Linked DNA regions of Cricetulus griseus. The protein of the gene in region 1 interacts with the protein of each later gene in a pairwise test. Links are inferred from orthologs where the notes say so. Each region holds a gene or a part of one and is shown in the gene's direction. Other genes may lie near its edges. The genes, in order: Birc7, Polr1c, caspase-9-like and Phf1.

Region 1 (4,444 bases):
GAGCCGCCATGCCCACCTCACAATATCTCTCAAGTCCCAACCCCTCGCCATGTGGCTCAATATCTACTCCTGACTGAGGGACTATTGACAGTTGACAGCTTCTGGGAGAAGCCACGGTTGGTGGCTCCTGGTAGGTTGGCCATGTTTCAGTGGATGTTGCCACACCCACGAATATAGGGACAACACAAACTGGACTCAGTGGGTAAACATTTAAAAATAAATAAAAAGAGGAGATGAAGTTGGGATGGGAGTGGAAAGACAGGGATGGACATGGAAGGAGGTAGGGGGAGAAGTAGGGGTGAGTATGACCAAAAAGAACTGTCTGGAGTCTGCCTTCCTTCCTTCCTTCCTTCCTTCCTCCTTCCTTCCTTCCTTCCTTCCTTCCTTCCTTCCTTCCTTCCTTCCTTCCTTCCAACTGTGTTTCTCTGTGTAGCCCTGGATGTCCTGGAACTCATTCTGTAGATGAGGCTGGCCTCCAGCTTAGAGATTTGCCTGCCTCTGACTCCTGAGTGCTCACCATGTTAAATGTTTCACCAGCGTGAAGAGCTACTTACAGGTGAGGAGTTTGTGCGGCTATCTGGGTACAGTGCCAGCTTGGGCAGAGCTGGCTCCTTGGTCTTCTTCTCTGCCCCTTCCAGTAGTCTTGAGGACTTTTGTTTTACTAACCTGTAGCTATGGCCTCTCTGGGGTTATGCCTCTCCTCTCTGTTCTGTTAGGTCTGTGACAATGGAGTCCCTCACCTGGGGCTTGTTAGTGGAGACCAGGTGCCTGGAACCAGTCCTGAGGCAGAGCTCACTTAGGGAGGCAGTATCCCCTGTAACAGTGCAGATAGAGACCTGTGCTGGCCTGGAGCAAACACAATCTAAAACTTGAGCTCCTCCCAGACCATGCCCCACCCTTGATTTGACTCTAGCCTGTCCAGATAGAAAGAGGGCAGCCTGAGACCAGTTAGGATAGGCAGGCTGACTCTGACCCAGGGCTGAGCCAAACAGGGATTGCCTACATGCTAGGGACAGGGATAAGCAGGTGATATCATCCTTGAACATCAGGACAGGCTTGATATGGAAGGAATGTGGTTGGGGTTGCATACTGTCCTGGACAATCTAGCTTTCTACCTTGCAGGCCCCTGTCTGGATTTATCTATCTCTACCCAGAACTGAACCCTGAATAGCTGGATTCCGCCCCCCCCCCATTTTTTTGTCAGTACCTATGATTTGCTTCCAGAGGCTTAGAGGATGCTGTTAGAGGGATCCCCAAGCTCTGCCCCTCCTCCTATTTAGAGATGCTTTCAGCACAGTGGAGTACCGCCTTTGTTAGGCGCCTGCCAGGAGGCCCCATGACACATTCACTGCAGAGAGCACGTGGCCACCACTCTGGCCTCTTTCAGAAAGTGGCACATCCCTGGACACACTACCACATCTGAGCATCTAGTGGTGTCTGCCTGTAGTTAGGAGCAGGGGTCACCACAGCTTCTAGAAAGGGCTGCTAGAGTCAGGAGCTGGAGGTAAGTCACCAGGCACATTCCAGGCTTGGTGATGTTCTCTCCTGAAGACTTGCTCAGAGCTGCTGTTCTCTCCATGGGGCCTGAGGGTAGGGCCAGGGACTTATTCTGTAGCCCAGAACTTAGTCACAGGGAAGATAGCAACAGCCTCACCCAGGAGCAGTACAGATCCCACCGCAGACGGAGCCATGTCTCGGGTCAGGACTGCCTAGATGGGCAGATCTTGGGCCAGTTGCGCCCCCTGTCAGAAGAGGAAGAATCCACTGGAGCTACCTTCCTTGGGGAGCCCGCCTTCCCTGAGATGGATTCAGAGGATCTCCGCCTGGCTTCCTTCTTCGACTGGCCATCCACTGCTGGGATTCAGCCAGAACCATTGGCTGCTGCTGGCTTCTTCCATACAGGTAAGTCTTGGGGTCTTTCTGCTGTGGTCTGGAGGCTAATTAGCACTCTTCCAGGCTGAGAGTTCTGTCCATTCCTGCCCTGAGGGAGGAGCTGATGAAAGGTAGTCCTGTTATTTCTGCCTGGCCAGGGCTTGGGATCTAATGTAGTCAAAAGCCACTATGAGATCATGGGCTTGTGGTGGCCTTGTCCAGAAGGCCACTCAGCAGGTGGTTTCACCTGAATTAGATGGTTCTGTGGATTCCCCATACTACTTCAGGGATCTCCACTGCTATCTGGGAGCCTTGCAGGCTTGGTTATAGAGGTGATTATCCCCTTTCATTCCAGGACAAATGGAGGAACATGTACCTATGGATGCAGTGGTTAGCTTAAACATCCCCTGATTTGTACCCCTGTAGGTAATCCTCCAGGCTTCCCATGTACCAGGCTAGTGCAGGGAAATCCTTTGAGTAGCTGTTTTAGTTACAAACAGACAACTTTAGTTTGGGCTGCTCCTCACTCACGGTAGGGGTCAGGTTCCAGCTTTTTCTCTTTCTGGTTGAGGAAAAAGAGGCAGGGAGACCCACGGAGAGGCTTTGTAAGTAGGAGCATAGCCAGAGAAACTATCTCCGATGAGGCTAGCAAGGGAGGAATTATTTATTTTCCTTGCACTGGTCAGGCAAGAGCCCAAACTGATATAGGGCAACTGGACACTGGTCAGGAAGGGTTAATGGCTGGGACAGTTAGAGCCTCCTTGAAAAGAAATGTTCCTGGGGCCAACATATGTTAGGGGGATTTTGTGGATTGTGGGTGCCTGCTGTGGGAGATGCCTGTAAGTCCTGTTTATAATTTCTGCACAAGGTCATGAAGGACACATCTCCCCATGGTTGGAGGAGGGGCAGAGAGCAGAGATGAGGAAGGCCTGAACCACTAAAACCAAGCCTAATTATAAACCAGTGTGGGAGGGGTCACCTCCTTATCCTGTCACTAGGAGTCCTTTTTGGATGCCCCGAATTTCCCAGGCTACAGATGCTCTAAGCCTTTGGCCCTACCCTACCCCCATGCCCTGAGAGCAACATAAATGCTAGCTCAGCTTTCCAGAATACTCTAGGGCCCTCCTGACACATGACCCAGGCATTGTCTTCATTTGTCTTTGAGACAAGAGAGATGCCCATGTGTGCCTTGCTCCCTCCTTGTCAACCTGCTGGTAGATCCCAGCCCTGCCTGTCCAAGCTCTGATGGCCATGGAGGGACACTCTGGGGATGCCAGCTAGGTGGAGTTACTAGCCATGTGTCTCTGCCATACCCAGGCCAGCAGGACAAGGTGAGATGTTTCTTCTGCTATGGGGGTCTGCAGAGCTGGGAGCATGGGGATGACCCTTGGACAGAGCATGCCCGATGGTTCCCCAGGTAAGGACCAGGTGGACTGATGCAGGTCCCATCAGTGAAAAGGGCCCTAAAGAATTCTGTTCAGCCTTCCCATCTCCCACAGTCCCAGAACATCAGGATCTCTCGAGGGTAGCAGACAACCCCACTCTTCATGGAGCTCTCTCTGGAGGGGCTGCTACAATGGTCATTCTCCCATTGCTATCCTTTTCTAAGTGCTCAGAGCCCATCTCCTGATAGCTTTCCCAGGTCTCCCTAGGGAATATAGCCATGACTATCTGCCATAGGGCATAATGGGTTGCACGGGAACAGAAGGCATGGCTTCCGGGGCTTGAATATGACAGTGGGGTTCTAAGAGTCCAGTCCTGCCTCCTGAGATTTCTTCTCCAGGTGTCAGTTCCTGCTACAGTCAAAAGGAAGGGACTTTGTGGAAAGAATCCAGGCTTGCACCCCCTTGCTTGGCTCCTGGGTAAGTCCATCTGTCCTCAGGACTCAGGTGGGTTGGCAGTCTCTGCTATGTTTACTTATGGCATTGATGGTTTTCCAACAGGACCCATGGGAAGAGCCAGAAGATACAGTCCCTGCTACCGCCACAGGTGAGATAGCCTGATACAAAGCCCTTGCTATTTCATTGGCATTTGCAGCCTGTACCTGGGTAAGACTGCTGAGCATTCGCACCTGCCAGTCAGCCGGGCGGGACTGTGCACACGTGTTATGTGTCCAAGGCACAGGTCAGGCCACACAGCATCCCCTTGTTTCCACTGAGCAGGCTGCTAAAGACACCAGCCAAACCTGAGGAGGTAGCTGCATCTTGGCCTGGTTCTGCTGGGCACTGGCCACAGCTTCTGAAAGCCAAATGGGCTATAACCGGAAGCCTGTTGAACAGATCCACAGAGGACACAGCTTTCCAAATCCCTTCCCTGGGCCCTATGGGACAGGAGTCTGAGGTTCTTCAGGGACCCCAAGGGGGTTTCTAACTTCAGGGACCACCTGATCTGTTTGCCATCTTTGTGGCCACAGGCAAGTAGCTTTTCTCCCAGAGCCTCATTGCTGTGAGATGTGACATGACAACCCTAACCCATTTAATCACACAGGTGTCTGTGGGACACTCTGGTGCTTGGCAGGGCTTTGTCTATTGTCCTCCCCAGCGATGGTAGCACTTCTGGATAGAGGCTCTGA
Region 2 (4,453 bases), on another chromosome or scaffold:
AGGAAAAGAAAAGAAAGAAAGAAAGAAAGGATAAAGACAGCAGAGTCTGCTTTTGAGAAGCTCTTGGTCTCGGGAGAGACCGACCAGGAATAAAAATCTATGTAGCCACATGGTAGAAGCCAGCAGAGTTGTCTAGGAGTCCCAGCTGGGGAGGAATGAGGACACAGCAAGTGCTGTCCGAGCGCGGTGTCTGGTAAGATGGGCAGCATGCACACACTTTCACCACCAGAGCTCAGGGCTCAGTATCTGACTGCAGTCTGGATGAGGGACTAGATGTGAGGACAGACTCTTCTGAGAAGACTCCTCACCTGCTTCGGACCTGAGCAGGCTCCACATCAAAGTAGGGTCTCAGGATGTCGATGTTGGCATACAAGCTGAAGGCTCTGGAAGCTTGTCTCTTCCCTGCCTGCCACATCTGAAGGGAGATGGGTATTATGAAACTGGTGGCTCTAGACTGTTAACGTTACACAGCCTTTGCCAGATTTCTGTGTGGTTCTCCCTGGAAAACCTACGTCACCTTGGGACACACATGGGTCCACTTTCCCATCTGCTTACCTGATCAGCCACCTGTCGGCTCAGCTGTCCCTTAAAGCCTTTCATGCCCAGAAACTCGCCATCCTCCTCTTCTGCAGCAGCTGCGTCGGCATCCACTTCTTCCTCACGCAGGCGCTGATGCAGCTCCCCCATGTCCTCGAAGCTGGAGCCTGACGTGTCATCCATGTTCTCCATGTCAATCACGGCCGAGCCCCCGCCCTGTGAAGACAAAGGCTGCTAGAGAGCGGGGCCTTCTGTTGCACCCTTCTGCTCTCTGCTCATCGCACGGTTTGAGGCTTTGCTCTCCCACTGATGAGGACATTGGAATTGCTACCCATCGTGCCAAACTCCTCCTTGTCACTGCTGGCACAACTCTTGTCGCCACACTTTTGTGGTTCAGAAAACACACTACTCATCTTCAATTCACGTTGTTTTCCTACCTTCCCCCTCAAAGCTTCGAAGTGCTGCACCGGGGCCGACCTGCCGCCACCCACCTTCAAGCAAGCCTATGTGCACACAGGCCACCTTTAGGGGCTCCAGGGAATCAATCCTACCCTCTAGCCCTGCACCTGCCTGACCCAGACAGGCCGCCCAGCCACGGAGACCCGAGGCCCGCTGCAGCCTCGGCCTGGCCCTTCCTCCTCAGCACAAGCGCTACAGACCTGGGCGTGGGAGACTCAGCGGCCACCACTTGCAATGGAGCCGACTTCCAGGCCGCGAGAGGGGACGGCGGCCAGCCCGGGGGCTGCCGGCAGCCGGGACACCGCTCCATACCTGGATGTTTTCTTCGAAGCCTCCCCACTCCGGGCCAGCTCCGTTTCGGACGCCGCTGGCCGGCGCCGCGGGAGTCGCCATGTCCCTCGAGGCTTTCCGTCGCTGAAGCTCGCGGGCGTGGGACCAGCGTGAGACCCGGGCCGGAGAGAAGGAGGAAACGTCCAGGAAAGAGAGAGGGCGAGGTAGTATCAGCCGGAATGCAAACAGGAGAAACCCGGATGTTTGGCCCCAATTGACGTCCGGAAGTGAAGGACGTGGACGGGGCGGGGCAGGATATCGCGACATTTATAAGTTCAGGAGGCGGGGCGTTGCCAGGGAGACGGCAACGGGCCCCTAGTACGCCTGCGCGCACCGGAGGCGTCTCGAGGCGGGTGGTGGACGATGGCGGCGGCCCAGGCCGTGGAGGAGATGCGGACGCGCGTGGTTCTGGGAGAGTTCGGGGTTCGCAACGTGAGCTCGGAGCGGAACTCGGGAGGGTCGGGGGCGGGATGGGGGAGGAGGAGGGGAGGGGACCTGGCTTGCGGCTTGTCCTCACCGCCCCGCTGAACACATCTGTTGGCTCTAGGTCCACACCACCGACTTCCCCGGTAACTACTCGGGTTACGACGACGCCTGGGACCAGGACCGCTTCGAGAAGGTGGGTGCGCGGGAGGTGTCCCGGCGGCCCGGGGACCAGACGGCTCACGCTCGCCGCGTTCCAAAAACGTGTGCTGAGCCATCCATGTGCTGGGTGCTGGGTGGCCAGGCCGCCCGGGTGGGGTGAAGGCCCACGTGATCAAGGGATCCCGGTGAAACACAAGAGCGGCGAGCACGGCCGGGGTGCGGGAGAGGAATCCCGTAGGTGACTTAATCCGGTCCGTCGGAGAGACGGAGACTCGGGTCAGTGAAGGAAGACTGGCCAACAGTTAGGCCGTGCAGGCCTAATTGGAGCATTGTTGCAAACGCTTGTTTGCGCAGAGCCTGCTCCAGCAGTTCATTATCGCCAGATGTCAATACATTGGCCCGAGTGGTAGACAAGACCGGGGTCTATCTTTTTCTCTTTGAAAATTTATTTGTATTTTATGTACATTGGTGTTTTGTCCGAATCTATGTGAGGGTGTCGGATCCTGTTGTCAGTTACAGTGTTGAGTGCTGGAAATTTAAACTCGCGTCCCTGATTGGGGTGTTATCTTAAGCTCTGCAAGTTAATAGAGAGCTCTGTTGTTTTTTTTTTTTCGAGACAGGGTTTCTCTGGGTATCCCTGGCTGTCATGAAACTAGCCTTTCTGCCTCCTGAGCGCTGAGATTAATAGCATGAGCTACCTCGCCTGGCTTAAAGAGAATTTTTCAGTAGACTGATCTAATTTTGTAACCTTCATAGCTGGGAGGGAATGAATAAATTCCACTGGTAGTGGAAATGGAGCAAAAGGAGAACTAACAGCTATGTACCATATAGCTTTGGTGAGGGGTGTGTGTGTGTGTGTGTGAAAAAGGGCCTTGTGATGTGGGGAATTTAAGGAGTTTTTTTTTTGGGGGGGGGGTTATGTGTTTACCTGCATGTATATTTGTGCATTTGTGTGACTGGTGACCCAGGGAGGTCTAGTTAGGTCCCCAGAACTGGAGTTATGCATGGTTATGAACCACAGTGTGGGTGCTGGGAACCAAACCCAGTTCTTTTTCTTTTTTCTTTTTTTTTCTTCTGTTTTTCGAGACAGGGTTTCTCTGTGGCTTTGGAGGCTGTCCTGGAAGTAGCTCTTGTAGACCAGGCTGGTCTCGAACTCACAGAGATCCTCCTGCCTCTGCCTCCCGAGTGCTGGGATTAAAGGCGTGCGCCACCCAACGCCCGGCCAAACCCAGTTCTTCTGTAAGAGCAGTCAAATGCTCTTAACTGCTGAGCCATCTCGTCAGCTCCATTAGGGAAGTGTCTTGATGGCTGATTGTGTCAGTTGATAAACAGGAGAAAAAGAGTGATAATATGTTCAAATTCCTGTATGTGAAGTCTGTAGGTCAAGTGAATGATGCCTGAAGTGAGATCAAAATGAACCCAAGTTTGGGGAGTTGCTGAGTAGTTGCTTAAGCCAGGAGTGTGATTGAGGTCAGCCAAGAGATTTGAACCTGGGAGAAAGTAACATTTACAGGGTGAGAGGAAGAATTTAGAATATCAGATAAGAGAACTAAATTGGTGTTCAAAAGTCAAGGGAGTAGAATTTGAAAAAAGAGGGATTGAAAAATAAAAACAAATGCAGGACTAACTTGTCTAAGCAGTGTGGGACGTTCTGCTCTTCAGTGTAGCAGCTTCTGTGGGTTGTTTTTGTGGAGCCATATTGCCTAGGGTCTTTTTTGGGGAGAGGGCGGGGGTTGAGACAGGATGTAGCTTTGGAGCCTATCCTGGCACTCCATCTGTAGACAAGGCTGGCCTGGAACTCACAGAGATCTGCCTGTGTCCCCCTCCCCCCCACGCGCGCGCGCCCAGTGCTGGGATTAAAGGTGTGCACCACCAATGCCCGGCTTTGCTTAGGGTCTTAGTGATGTACACCTTTGATCCTAGTCCATAGAAGATAGGTAAGTATTCCTGTGAGTTCGAGGCCATTGTGGTTTACATAGATAGTTCCAGAAATGCTAGGGCAAGGTAGGGAGACCCCCCCTTATTTTTTAATTTAAAAAAGAAAGAAAACCAGCCAGGCTTCTTACAAAACTCAAGAACAGGGCTGAAGACAAAAGTCTAGTGATCATCTGGTCACAGGAAGGCTTTAGGATGAGAGAGGGTGGACATACATGGAGGGACATTGCCAGGGTGGGAGTAATCACAGAGGGAGGCTTGAATTACACAAGAGAAACAGGTGTTCCATCAGTTTTTTCTCTATCCCTCTAGAATTTCCGTGTGGATGTTGTTCATATGGATGAAAATACACTGGAGTTCGACATGGTGGGAATTGATGCTGCCATTGCTAATGCTTTCCGGAGAATTCTGTTAGCTGAGGTAAAAGAAGACGTGTGGGTCTCTTATTTCCAGGTAGGGAGATCAGTTGGTGTTGCAGTTGGATGATTCTGCTTTTTTGAACAGGTGCCAACAATGGCAGTGGAAAAGGTTCTGGTTTATAATAACACATCCATTGTCCAGGATGAGATCCTTGCTCACCGCCTGGGGCTCATCCCCATTCTTGCTG
Region 3 (4,207 bases), on another chromosome or scaffold:
ACTGCAGTGTCAGCCACCATTCCCAGTCACCCATATTTTCACAGTGTGCAGGGGCCAGAACAGTCATTTATTAGTCTTAGTTCTGACAAAGACTGGCCCTGCCCAGACCGTCCAGACACTCCTCACATAATGTAACAGGATGAGGCCCTACATCATCTGTTTGGCCCCGCAGACCCTCACTTCCCCCTGTGCCAGCCACCCAGACCCCTGTGCAGTTGTTTTCTGTGTATGCTGCCCCACTACTGTCCCCCACTACTGTCCCAGGGTCTTCGCATTTGCAGTCCGTTAGCATAACTTTCTCCATTTCCTACTGGTCTCTGCTTGATGCCACCTTCTCCATGAAGTGTCTATGACAACACCATCCAGAACAGTGCACGCATGCATATCCATGCTGTCCTGGCAAGTATTATGACAACTTGACACAAGCTAGATTCATCTGGGATGAGGGAACCTCAACCAAGTCAATGCTCCCACCAGATTGGCCTGTAAGCAAGCTTGGGGTGCACTTGATTGATTGATGGTTGATGGCTGATGTGGAAGGTCCCACCTCACTTGTGGGCAGTGCTGCCCCTGGGTCGGTGGTCGTGGGGGCTAGAAGGAAGCAAGGTATATGAGCAAGCTATGAGGCGCTCATCAAAGCATCATCCCTCCGTGGCTTCTGCCTCAGCCCTGCCTCCAGGTTCCTGTCCTCCTTCAGTCCCTGTACTGACTTCCTTCAATGATGGGCTGTGATGTGGAAGTACAGGCTGAAACCAACCCTTTCCTTCCCAGGTTGCTTTTGGTCACTGTGTATTTACCACAGCAACAAAAACCCTAAGACACATGCTCGCTCACTCAAGAATGTACACACCTGCACATAAGCACACACCTCCCCGACTGCATTGCTTTTTACCCAGTGGCGGCTTTGTTGCCCAGCAACTAGACTTTCAGGTAAATCCTGTGAATCTCACCCCTACATACTGTGTTCTAGGGGTCCGTGGGTAGGAGATAGGAGGTCTTTGATAAACAGCCCTCCAGCCCTCCAGCCCTCCAGCCCTCCTCATCAGACTCAACAGCCATAGATGAGAACTACTCAAGAACAAAACTTGTACCTGCACAAAACACATGTACTTTTTCCTTGTCATCATTCACTAAACAATATCACAGATGACGACTTAGATAGCAATGGCATTGTGGTTGGGGATCACCAGTAATCTAGAGATTAGTTGAAATAATAGGAAGGGCTGTGGATGACACAGCTTGTCTAGCATGCTTGCTCTAGGCTTGAGTCCTAGACCTGCATAAAAGATGGGGGAGGAAAGGATAGGGGAGTAATAGTGATGATGACGGTGACGCTGGCACGTGATGGATCCTTGTTTGTTCTTTGTCAGCTTGGTATAACCTAGAGCCATTTGGGAAGAGGGAACCTCAATTGAGAAATTGCTTCCGTTATATTTCCTGTAGAGTAGTTGGTGGGGATTTTTTTTTTTTTTAAATAAGATTAATGCTTAGAGCCCAGCCCTCCATGGCAGGTGCCACCCTGGTCAGTTGATCCTGGGTTGTGTGATAAAGAAGTAAGAGCAAGCTGGAAATAGCAAACCAGTAAGCAACACCCTGTGTTAAATCCATAGTACTCCCCCAAACTGGAAAATATTTACGATAGACACGTGAGGGATGGAGAGAGGGCTCAGTGAGCAAGGCTGACAACTTGAGTTTAATCCCCAGGACCACATGGACCCAATGGAAGGAGAGGAAAGACTTCTGGAAATTGTCCTCTGACATCCATGAGTCCCTACCCTGCAAATAAATGTAGTAAAAGAAACAAAACGAGGAGCCAGAGAGTAGGCTCAGCAGTTATTCCCACCCTTCACTTGGTGGCTCACAGCTGTCTGTAACTCCAGTTCCAGGAATGCCAAACATAAATGCACATAAAAAATAAAGTATAAATAAAAAATAAACAAAACATACAAAGCTACTCCAAAGGATTGTGCACCAAGCTAAAATACACAAAACCTCCTGTAGATAGAAACTTTTCCCCCATGGGCAGAAATGCCATGACTGAACCACTGATTTGGTTTTGAAGATTAACCAAGCACTTATATTGAGAAGTAAAGAAATAGCTCCCTGTAACATGGAAGGGACCAAAAATTCAACTAAAACAAGTTTTTGAGATGGTCTTATGTATCCCAAGGTTGTTCCAAGTTCTTTACATAACCAAAGATGATCCTGAGCTCATGCTTTTCCTGCCCTCACCTCCTGAGTGCTGGGATTACATTTATGAACCACCATGTCCAAAGTTTTATCATACTCAGGGCTTCCACCAGATGCCAACTTAGTAACATACTCAAGCCCTGCATCAAATTAGAATCTTGACTCCTCCCAAGCTCAACGGGGTGTGTTTGGGCTGTTATGGGACCATTCAGAGTCCCAGTTCTTTTATCGGGAAAATAAGGACCCCTTGGATAGGGCTCTGGTCATTGCTAGTATTTCCAACAGAACATTATTTAAACACTGTGACTATAGCCATGTGACACACATCTTTCTGATCTGGGCACATAAGCCATTTCCCATCACTCCTGTAACCCCATAGGGCACCATTCACTATTTATCATGCCCATTGTACTTGTGAGAGAACAAATGCCCCTGTGGGCAGCAATGCCAGCAGGACTGCTCTTTCTTATGTGACTTATGGAAGGAGCTTAACAATTCCACAAAAACAAACACTTAGTACTTAGGATGGGAATGTTGGCACATTCCCTTAATCCTAGCACTCTCGTGGATCTCTGAGTTTGAGGCCAGTTTGGTCTAAATTGTGAGTTCTAAGACAGCCAGAGCCACAATGAGACCCTGTCTGAAGAAATGAATAATTAAATAAATAAGTAACACATATAATGAATACTTACTGGTTGTTATTTTACATGTGTTTGTGTTTGCCTTCATGTATGTACATGTCTAGTGCCTGTGGAGGCCAGAAGAGGGCACTGGATGCCCTGGAACTGGAGTTCTAGATGGTTGTGAGCTGTCATGTGGGTGGTGGGAACTGAATTCGCTTTCTCTGAAGAACAGCAAGTCTCCTCACTGTTGAGCCTTCTCTCCAGCTCTCCAGGAAAGCTATTTTAAAACGGACATGCTTCTGACATTTGAAAAATGTGCAATAAACTGGGCAGTGGTGGTGCTCGGGAGGCAGAGGCAGTTGGATCTCAGTTGAAGGCCAGCCTGGTCTATAGAGTGAGTTCTAGGACAGGCAGGTCTACACAGAGCTCTGTCCCACAAACAAACAAAGAATATACAGCACACCTATTTGGTGTTGTGTATGGTTCTCCAGTCCTACAGTTCTATGATTGTCTCGAAACAATCAACAGCAACAAAAGGTCTTTTCTACAGCCACCTTTTCAACTACCAAGTGTAGATTTTGCCAGGGAAGAAAGGTTTTTTAAAATATTCATCATAAAGGTCTCACATGTCCTATGAAAGATCTAGTAATTTCTACCTGGGCCAAATTTCAGTTTTGACAGCACTATGATTATATCAGTGTAAGGAAGCAGTTATTTTCATCCATAACAGTGTAATTAAGAATTAATCTGCATAAATAGCCCTGACTGGCCCCTTCAAGTGAAGAATATTTGCATAGGAGTGGTGACAGCCTCACAGGGGAAACTGATGTGGCAGTGGGCATGTAACTTTAGATCATCAGGTCTCTGGCAGCTCCTTTTTGATGGCTGGAGACATTTCCTTTCTCTCAGTCCCCAATAGTCCATGGCTGCAGGATTTTATTGTATTGGTGCGGCCCTCTTGTGTTCCCACCAAACCTCACCTTTGTCTGAATAATAGACTCACCAGTGTGGTTGACTCACCTGCCAGGGCCAGCTGTTGGGTGTGGCCTCTTCTCCCCCAACTACCCTGCTCACATGGTCCTCGACATCATAAGTGGGGAACCCGCAGCTGAGAGCTGGGAAAAGAGAGTATTGGGTCAGTGAGGATTTGCTTTTGTGGACATACCCAAACCCAACAGGAAACTCTTGCTTTGCAAAGATCTAGTAGGTCCGTGAGTCAGTCCTTCATTCCACTTCCTAGCCTGTCTTTGATTTTGTCAGGTAACTGAAGCTGGCCTTAAATTTGTGGTCCTCCTGTCTCAGCCTCACGAGTGTTGGTATTATCATTGTGCCCTGCTCCCTGCTTCCTATAACTGAGGGCCTGGAGACTGGGACATCTGCTCAAAGTAAGGGCA
Region 4 (4,362 bases), on another chromosome or scaffold:
GTTCCAGGATAGGCTCCAAAGCCACAGAGAAACCCTGTCTTGAAAAACCAAAAAAAAAAAGAGGAGAGAGAGAGAGGTAGCCTGTGTGGAGTTGACATAAAACCAGGGCTTCATCTCTAGACTTCTGACCTCTTCCAGGCCTACTAGTGGATATAAGACAACTATGCTTAGGGGCGGGAACCAGGCCGAGCCTACTTTCAACAGCCCTTATTTCAATATTTTGGAGGGCGGCCCCAGCATTGGAGCTGGGGTAGATGGACCAACGCTGATCTTGTATAACCTTCTTGGTCCACAGGTGAACCAGTGTGTTATCGGTACTGCTCAGGCTAATAAGAAGTGAAGATGGCCAGAGCCTGGTTCCGCTGCCGCTGGGTTGATTGTGTCTCTCTCTGTGTGTACTGGGGGGGAGAGGGGGGTGAGAGATACGCTTTTATTGGGTGGACATCATTTGTACCCAACTATCAAATAAAGAAATTTTGTTGTAGACTTTACGCATGGTTGTTTTGCCTGGGTGTGTGTACATGTGCGCCATGTGTATGCCTGGTGCTTCTTGAGTTCAGAAGAGGGCTGGCTTCAGGTCCTCTGGACCTGGTCTGATGGATGGCTGTGAGCGACTGTGGGTTCTCTGCAAAAGCAGTCAGTGCTCTTAACGACGAGCCATCTCTGCAGCCCTTGTTACGGCTCTTAAATAAAGGTCTTGTTAGTCCTGGTAGGTTGTAAACAAATACCGTAAGCTTGCAGAAGTGTGGCTTCTGACGTGTGCTTTGCACAGTGAGGCTATGGGCTTTTCTCTGTTGGGCTCTCACTTGGCTGTCCTTCAGCGCGGGTGTTGCACCCATAGCTGCCACACCGGGCCTGGTGTGAGTCCCAGCGCGCTCGATCCGCATCCCCTCCCTCTGCCTGCCCACCGCTTGGAACTACGGTTCCCTGCCGCCCGCTGCCCATTGGCTGGCTGTGGGCACGTCACCGGCTGGGTGCTGGCCCTGCCGCCCTGGCTCGCCCGCTCGCCGGCCCTGGCCCGCTCGCTCGCCTGCCCGCCCGGGAGGGAGGAGCGCAGCCGCACCGGGCTCCCGCGGCAGGAGGTGTGGCTGTCTGCCCAGGTGCAGCGCCCAGGCGGGGCCGCGCGTGCGCAGAAGGGCGGGGCGACAGGAAGTGTGAATGGGGAGGGCGGGGCCGCGTGCGGAGGCGGGGCTTGGAGTGGCCACGGGGGCGGGGCAGCTAACGGATGTGGCATGGGGCGGGGCTGGGCCCTGACCTGCAGGCTGGCTGCCAGCAGGGTTATTTCCTGCCGCTCCCGGGGCGAGCCTCCCGTCCGGAAAGGGGGCTGCAGGGGTCCCCTCGTCCTGCCCGGCCGGCCGCGCCCCCAGCCGTGCGGTGCCCTCGGGGCCTGCCGGGGGTGAGGGAGGTGCTGCCTGTCCGCCCCTCCGGCTTCTCCTCCCTCTGGTGCTCCCCACCCACTACTCCTCCCTCCCGCCCTCCCGCGGCCGACTCCTCCCGCCGCCGCCGCCGCTGCTTTGGCTGCTGCGTCATACGCCCCAGAGCCGCTAGGACGGAGGGGCTGGGCCCCGGGACCCCCGGCCTCCTCCTGCACGCCCTCGGCGTCCGCACGCACTCCGCCCGCGCCGGGGCTCGCGCCCCTAGGGCTCTGGGGTCTGCCCCTAGCTGGCTCCCTGCTGACCCAGCTGTCACCGGTAAGAAGGAGGCGGGAGGCCCTGAGCGGGGGCAGGGAGGGGGCCGGGGGTCGATGCTCAGCAGGGGGCAGGAGAGCCTCTTGGCACCGGCTTAGGATCCGGGCTGGGGGGACTCGAGTCCCTCCTCAGACCGGCGGTGTAGGGTAGCGGAGACCTGGACAGGGACACGCCCCCCTCCTGGGGCACTCGGGGAAGTTATCTAATCCCAGGGCAAGCAGCCTCAAATTTGAGGGTGACCTAACATAACCTGGCACCAGGACAGCGGTTCTAAATGAGACACACAGGCCTGGGGAGGCGGATGTCTCTACTCAGGGAAACATCTCCAGAAAAGCTCCCAAAATATCTCTGGGCAACCGAGCGTCCCAGTTAGGATACCTCTAAACAGCTGGGAAAGGCGAAACTGAATGAATGGTAACCTTGGCTCTGAAAGCATCTTTTCCCCTAAGGCCCCAGGGAGCTGGGATGCTAGAGAACCAGGCTGGGGACCAGGGTGACCCACCTCCTTAGGTGTCTAAAGGATTCAGTGACTGAGCTTGGAGGTGCTTGGTCCCTTATCCTTGACAGTAAAAGCAGACAGAGCAGCCAAGCCTTCTTAACATTCATAAACTCTTCCATCGTATCTGATTAGCCCCTCCCAGGATGCAATGGCGCAGCTCCCCCGGCTGAGCCGCTTGGGTGCACCCTCTCTTTGGGATCCAGCTTCCCCTGCTCCCACCTCAGGCCCTAGACCTCGACTTTGGGAGGGTCAAGACGTGCTGGCTAGGTGGACCGATGGGCTGCTGTATTTAGGCACCATCAAAAAGGTAAGAGCCAACTCTGGGCCCCACCATGGATCCTCTCCCTCTGATTCCTGCTCCCACTTTATAATCTTTGCTCACCCACTCCAGGTGGACAGTGCTCGGGAGGTGTGTCTGGTCCAGTTTGAGGATGATTCCCAGTTTCTGGTTCTATGGAAGGACATCAGCCCGGGTGAGACCCTTCATAACTGCAGAAGCTGGAGGGTGTGGGGGACACTGGCTGAAGTAAGCCACCTGACACCTTGTCCCTCACAGCTGCCCTCCCTGGGGAGGAGCTCCTCTGCTGTGTCTGTCGCTCTGAGACGGTGGTCCCTGGGAACCGGCTGGTCAGCTGTGAGAAGTGTCGTCATGGTGAGAGGAGAGGGCAGGATACTTGAATGGTACAGTTTGCCCTGGGTCTTCTGGATTGCCAGTTGTCTTCCTAGCATGGGTCTTGTGTCTCCTATCTTGGCCAGTCTTCACCCTGTCACCTCATCTCAGTACAGGGAGAGGGAGCCATAGGATGAAGATGACATAAGCCATGCAAGGTTGAGGGTAGCTACATACATCTCTCTCTCTCTCTAAGGTTGAGGGTAGCTACATACCTCTCACTCTCTCTCTCTCTCTCTCTCTCTCTCTCTCTCTCTCTCTGTCTTTTAAAGATTTGTTTATTTATTATACAGTGTTCTGCCTGCATGTACAACTTCAGGCCAGAAAAGGGTACCAGATGTCACTACAGATGGTTGTGAGCCACCATGTGGTTGCTGGGAATTGAACTTAGGACCTCTGGAAGAGCAGCCAGTGCTCTTAACCTCTGAGCCATCTCTCCAGCCCCCCCACCAAACACACACCACACACACACACACACACACACACACACACACACACACACACACAGTAGGACCATGGTCAGGATATAAACGCACAAGGGAAGGCTGCCGTGTACGAGCACCAAGCCAATGCAGGTGCGCACACAGTGTTTGACTCTCAACATTGTCCTTATTCAGCTTATCACCAGGACTGTCACGTTCCCAGGGCCCCAGCCCCTGGAGAAGGAGAGGGCACATCCTGGGTCTGCCGCCAGTGTGTCTTTGCGATTGCCACCAAGGTAAAGGCACCTCTCTGCCACTTCCTATGGGAGCCTCCCATGGCCCCTTCTCTCCTGCCTCTCTGAGGTTTCCACCTGTTCCTCTGCAGAGGGGGGGCGCCCTGAAGAAGGGCCCCTATGCCCGGGCCATGCTGGGCATGAAGCTCTGTCTGCCGTATGGACTAAAGGGGCTGGACTGGGACGCCGGGCACTTGAGCAACCGACAGCAGAGCTACTGTTACTGTGGAGGCCCCGGGGAGTGAGTGGTGGGGGTGCTGAGTTCTGGGGTGGACGCTGTGGTGGTAGAGCCTGGAATAAAGGGGAAGGGGCAGGCTGAGGGGAGCCCCGAGGTGATGGGAGGTGGGTGAGGGTTCAGGGTGGTCTCAGGCAGGCTGTCTTCCCCTGAGGTGGAACCTGAAAATGCTGCAGTGTCGGAGCTGTCTCCAGTGGTTCCACGAGGCCTGCACCCAGTGTCTGAGCAAGCCCCTCCTCTACGGAGACAGGTGAGCCCAAAGGAGGCTGTCCAGGAAGCCCAGGGCGCCCGCCTGCTGTGCTCCACCCACGCCCAGGCCTCCCAGCGTTCGCTGTCTACCACTTGTAGAGTTGAACGAGGTGCGTTCTCTGTCCTCATGTCCAGATTCTATGAATTTGAATGCTGTGTGTGCCGGGGTGGCCCTGAGAAGGTCCGGAGGTTACAGCTTCGCTGGTGAGATGGATTGTGCCTTCCTTCCTTCCTTCCTTCCTTCCTTCCTTCCTTCCTTCCTTCCTTCCTTCCTTCCTGTTCCCCGCTGTTTGACTCTCATATGCG

Evidence for each region.
Region 2: the proteins of Birc7 (region 1) and Polr1c interact in binary tests that used the Homo sapiens proteins (3 or more experiments, as listed by UniProt). The two-hybrid records come from large-scale screens. The link is inferred for Cricetulus griseus from reciprocal best matches to the Homo sapiens genes BIRC7 and POLR1C.
Region 3: the proteins of Birc7 (region 1) and caspase-9-like interact in binary tests that used the Homo sapiens proteins (3 or more experiments, as listed by UniProt). The two-hybrid records come from large-scale screens. The link is inferred for Cricetulus griseus from reciprocal best matches to the Homo sapiens genes BIRC7 and CASP9.
Region 4: the proteins of Birc7 (region 1) and Phf1 interact in binary tests that used the Homo sapiens proteins (3 or more experiments, as listed by UniProt). The two-hybrid records come from large-scale screens. The link is inferred for Cricetulus griseus from reciprocal best matches to the Homo sapiens genes BIRC7 and PHF1.

The regions. Positions count from the first base shown.
Region 1 is NC_048599.1:974,927-979,370, reverse strand, and holds the start of Birc7 (baculoviral IAP repeat-containing protein 7), read left to right. Parts: upstream 1-1,470; 5' UTR 1,471-1,535; coding exon 1,536-1,902; intron 1,903-3,189; coding exon 3,190-3,289; intron 3,290-3,655; coding exon 3,656-3,734; intron 3,735-3,815; coding exon 3,816-3,861; intron 3,862-4,444.
Region 2 is NW_023276806.1:255,712,552-255,717,004, reverse strand, and holds the start of Polr1c (DNA-directed RNA polymerases I and III subunit RPAC1), read left to right. Parts: upstream 1-1,597; 5' UTR 1,598-1,689; coding exon 1,690-1,758; intron 1,759-1,873; coding exon 1,874-1,945; intron 1,946-4,158; coding exon 4,159-4,266; intron 4,267-4,350; coding exon 4,351-4,453. Other genes in the region: protein YIPF3, read right to left, coding at 309-415, 556-753, 1,309-1,389. UniProt on the Homo sapiens protein: DNA-dependent RNA polymerase catalyzes the transcription of DNA into RNA using the four ribonucleoside triphosphates as substrates.
Region 3 is NC_048595.1:11,440,647-11,444,853, reverse strand, and holds the start of caspase-9-like, read left to right. Parts: upstream 1-1,322; coding exon 1,323-1,328; intron 1,329-4,207. UniProt on the Homo sapiens protein: Involved in the activation cascade of caspases responsible for apoptosis execution. Binding of caspase-9 to Apaf-1 leads to activation of the protease which then cleaves and activates effector caspases caspase-3 (CASP3) or caspase-7 (CASP7).
Region 4 is NW_023276806.1:232,130,674-232,135,035, forward strand, and holds the start of Phf1 (PHD finger protein 1), read left to right. Parts: upstream 1-1,532; 5' UTR 1,533-1,691; intron 1,692-2,319; 5' UTR 2,320-2,335; coding exon 2,336-2,494; intron 2,495-2,578; coding exon 2,579-2,660; intron 2,661-2,743; coding exon 2,744-2,839; intron 2,840-3,474; coding exon 3,475-3,575; intron 3,576-3,664; coding exon 3,665-3,813; intron 3,814-3,961; coding exon 3,962-4,057; intron 4,058-4,191; coding exon 4,192-4,260; intron 4,261-4,362. Other genes in the region: kinesin-like protein KIFC1, read left to right, coding at 296-340. UniProt on the Homo sapiens protein: Polycomb group (PcG) that specifically binds histone H3 trimethylated at 'Lys-36' (H3K36me3) and recruits the PRC2 complex. Involved in DNA damage response and is recruited at double-strand breaks (DSBs).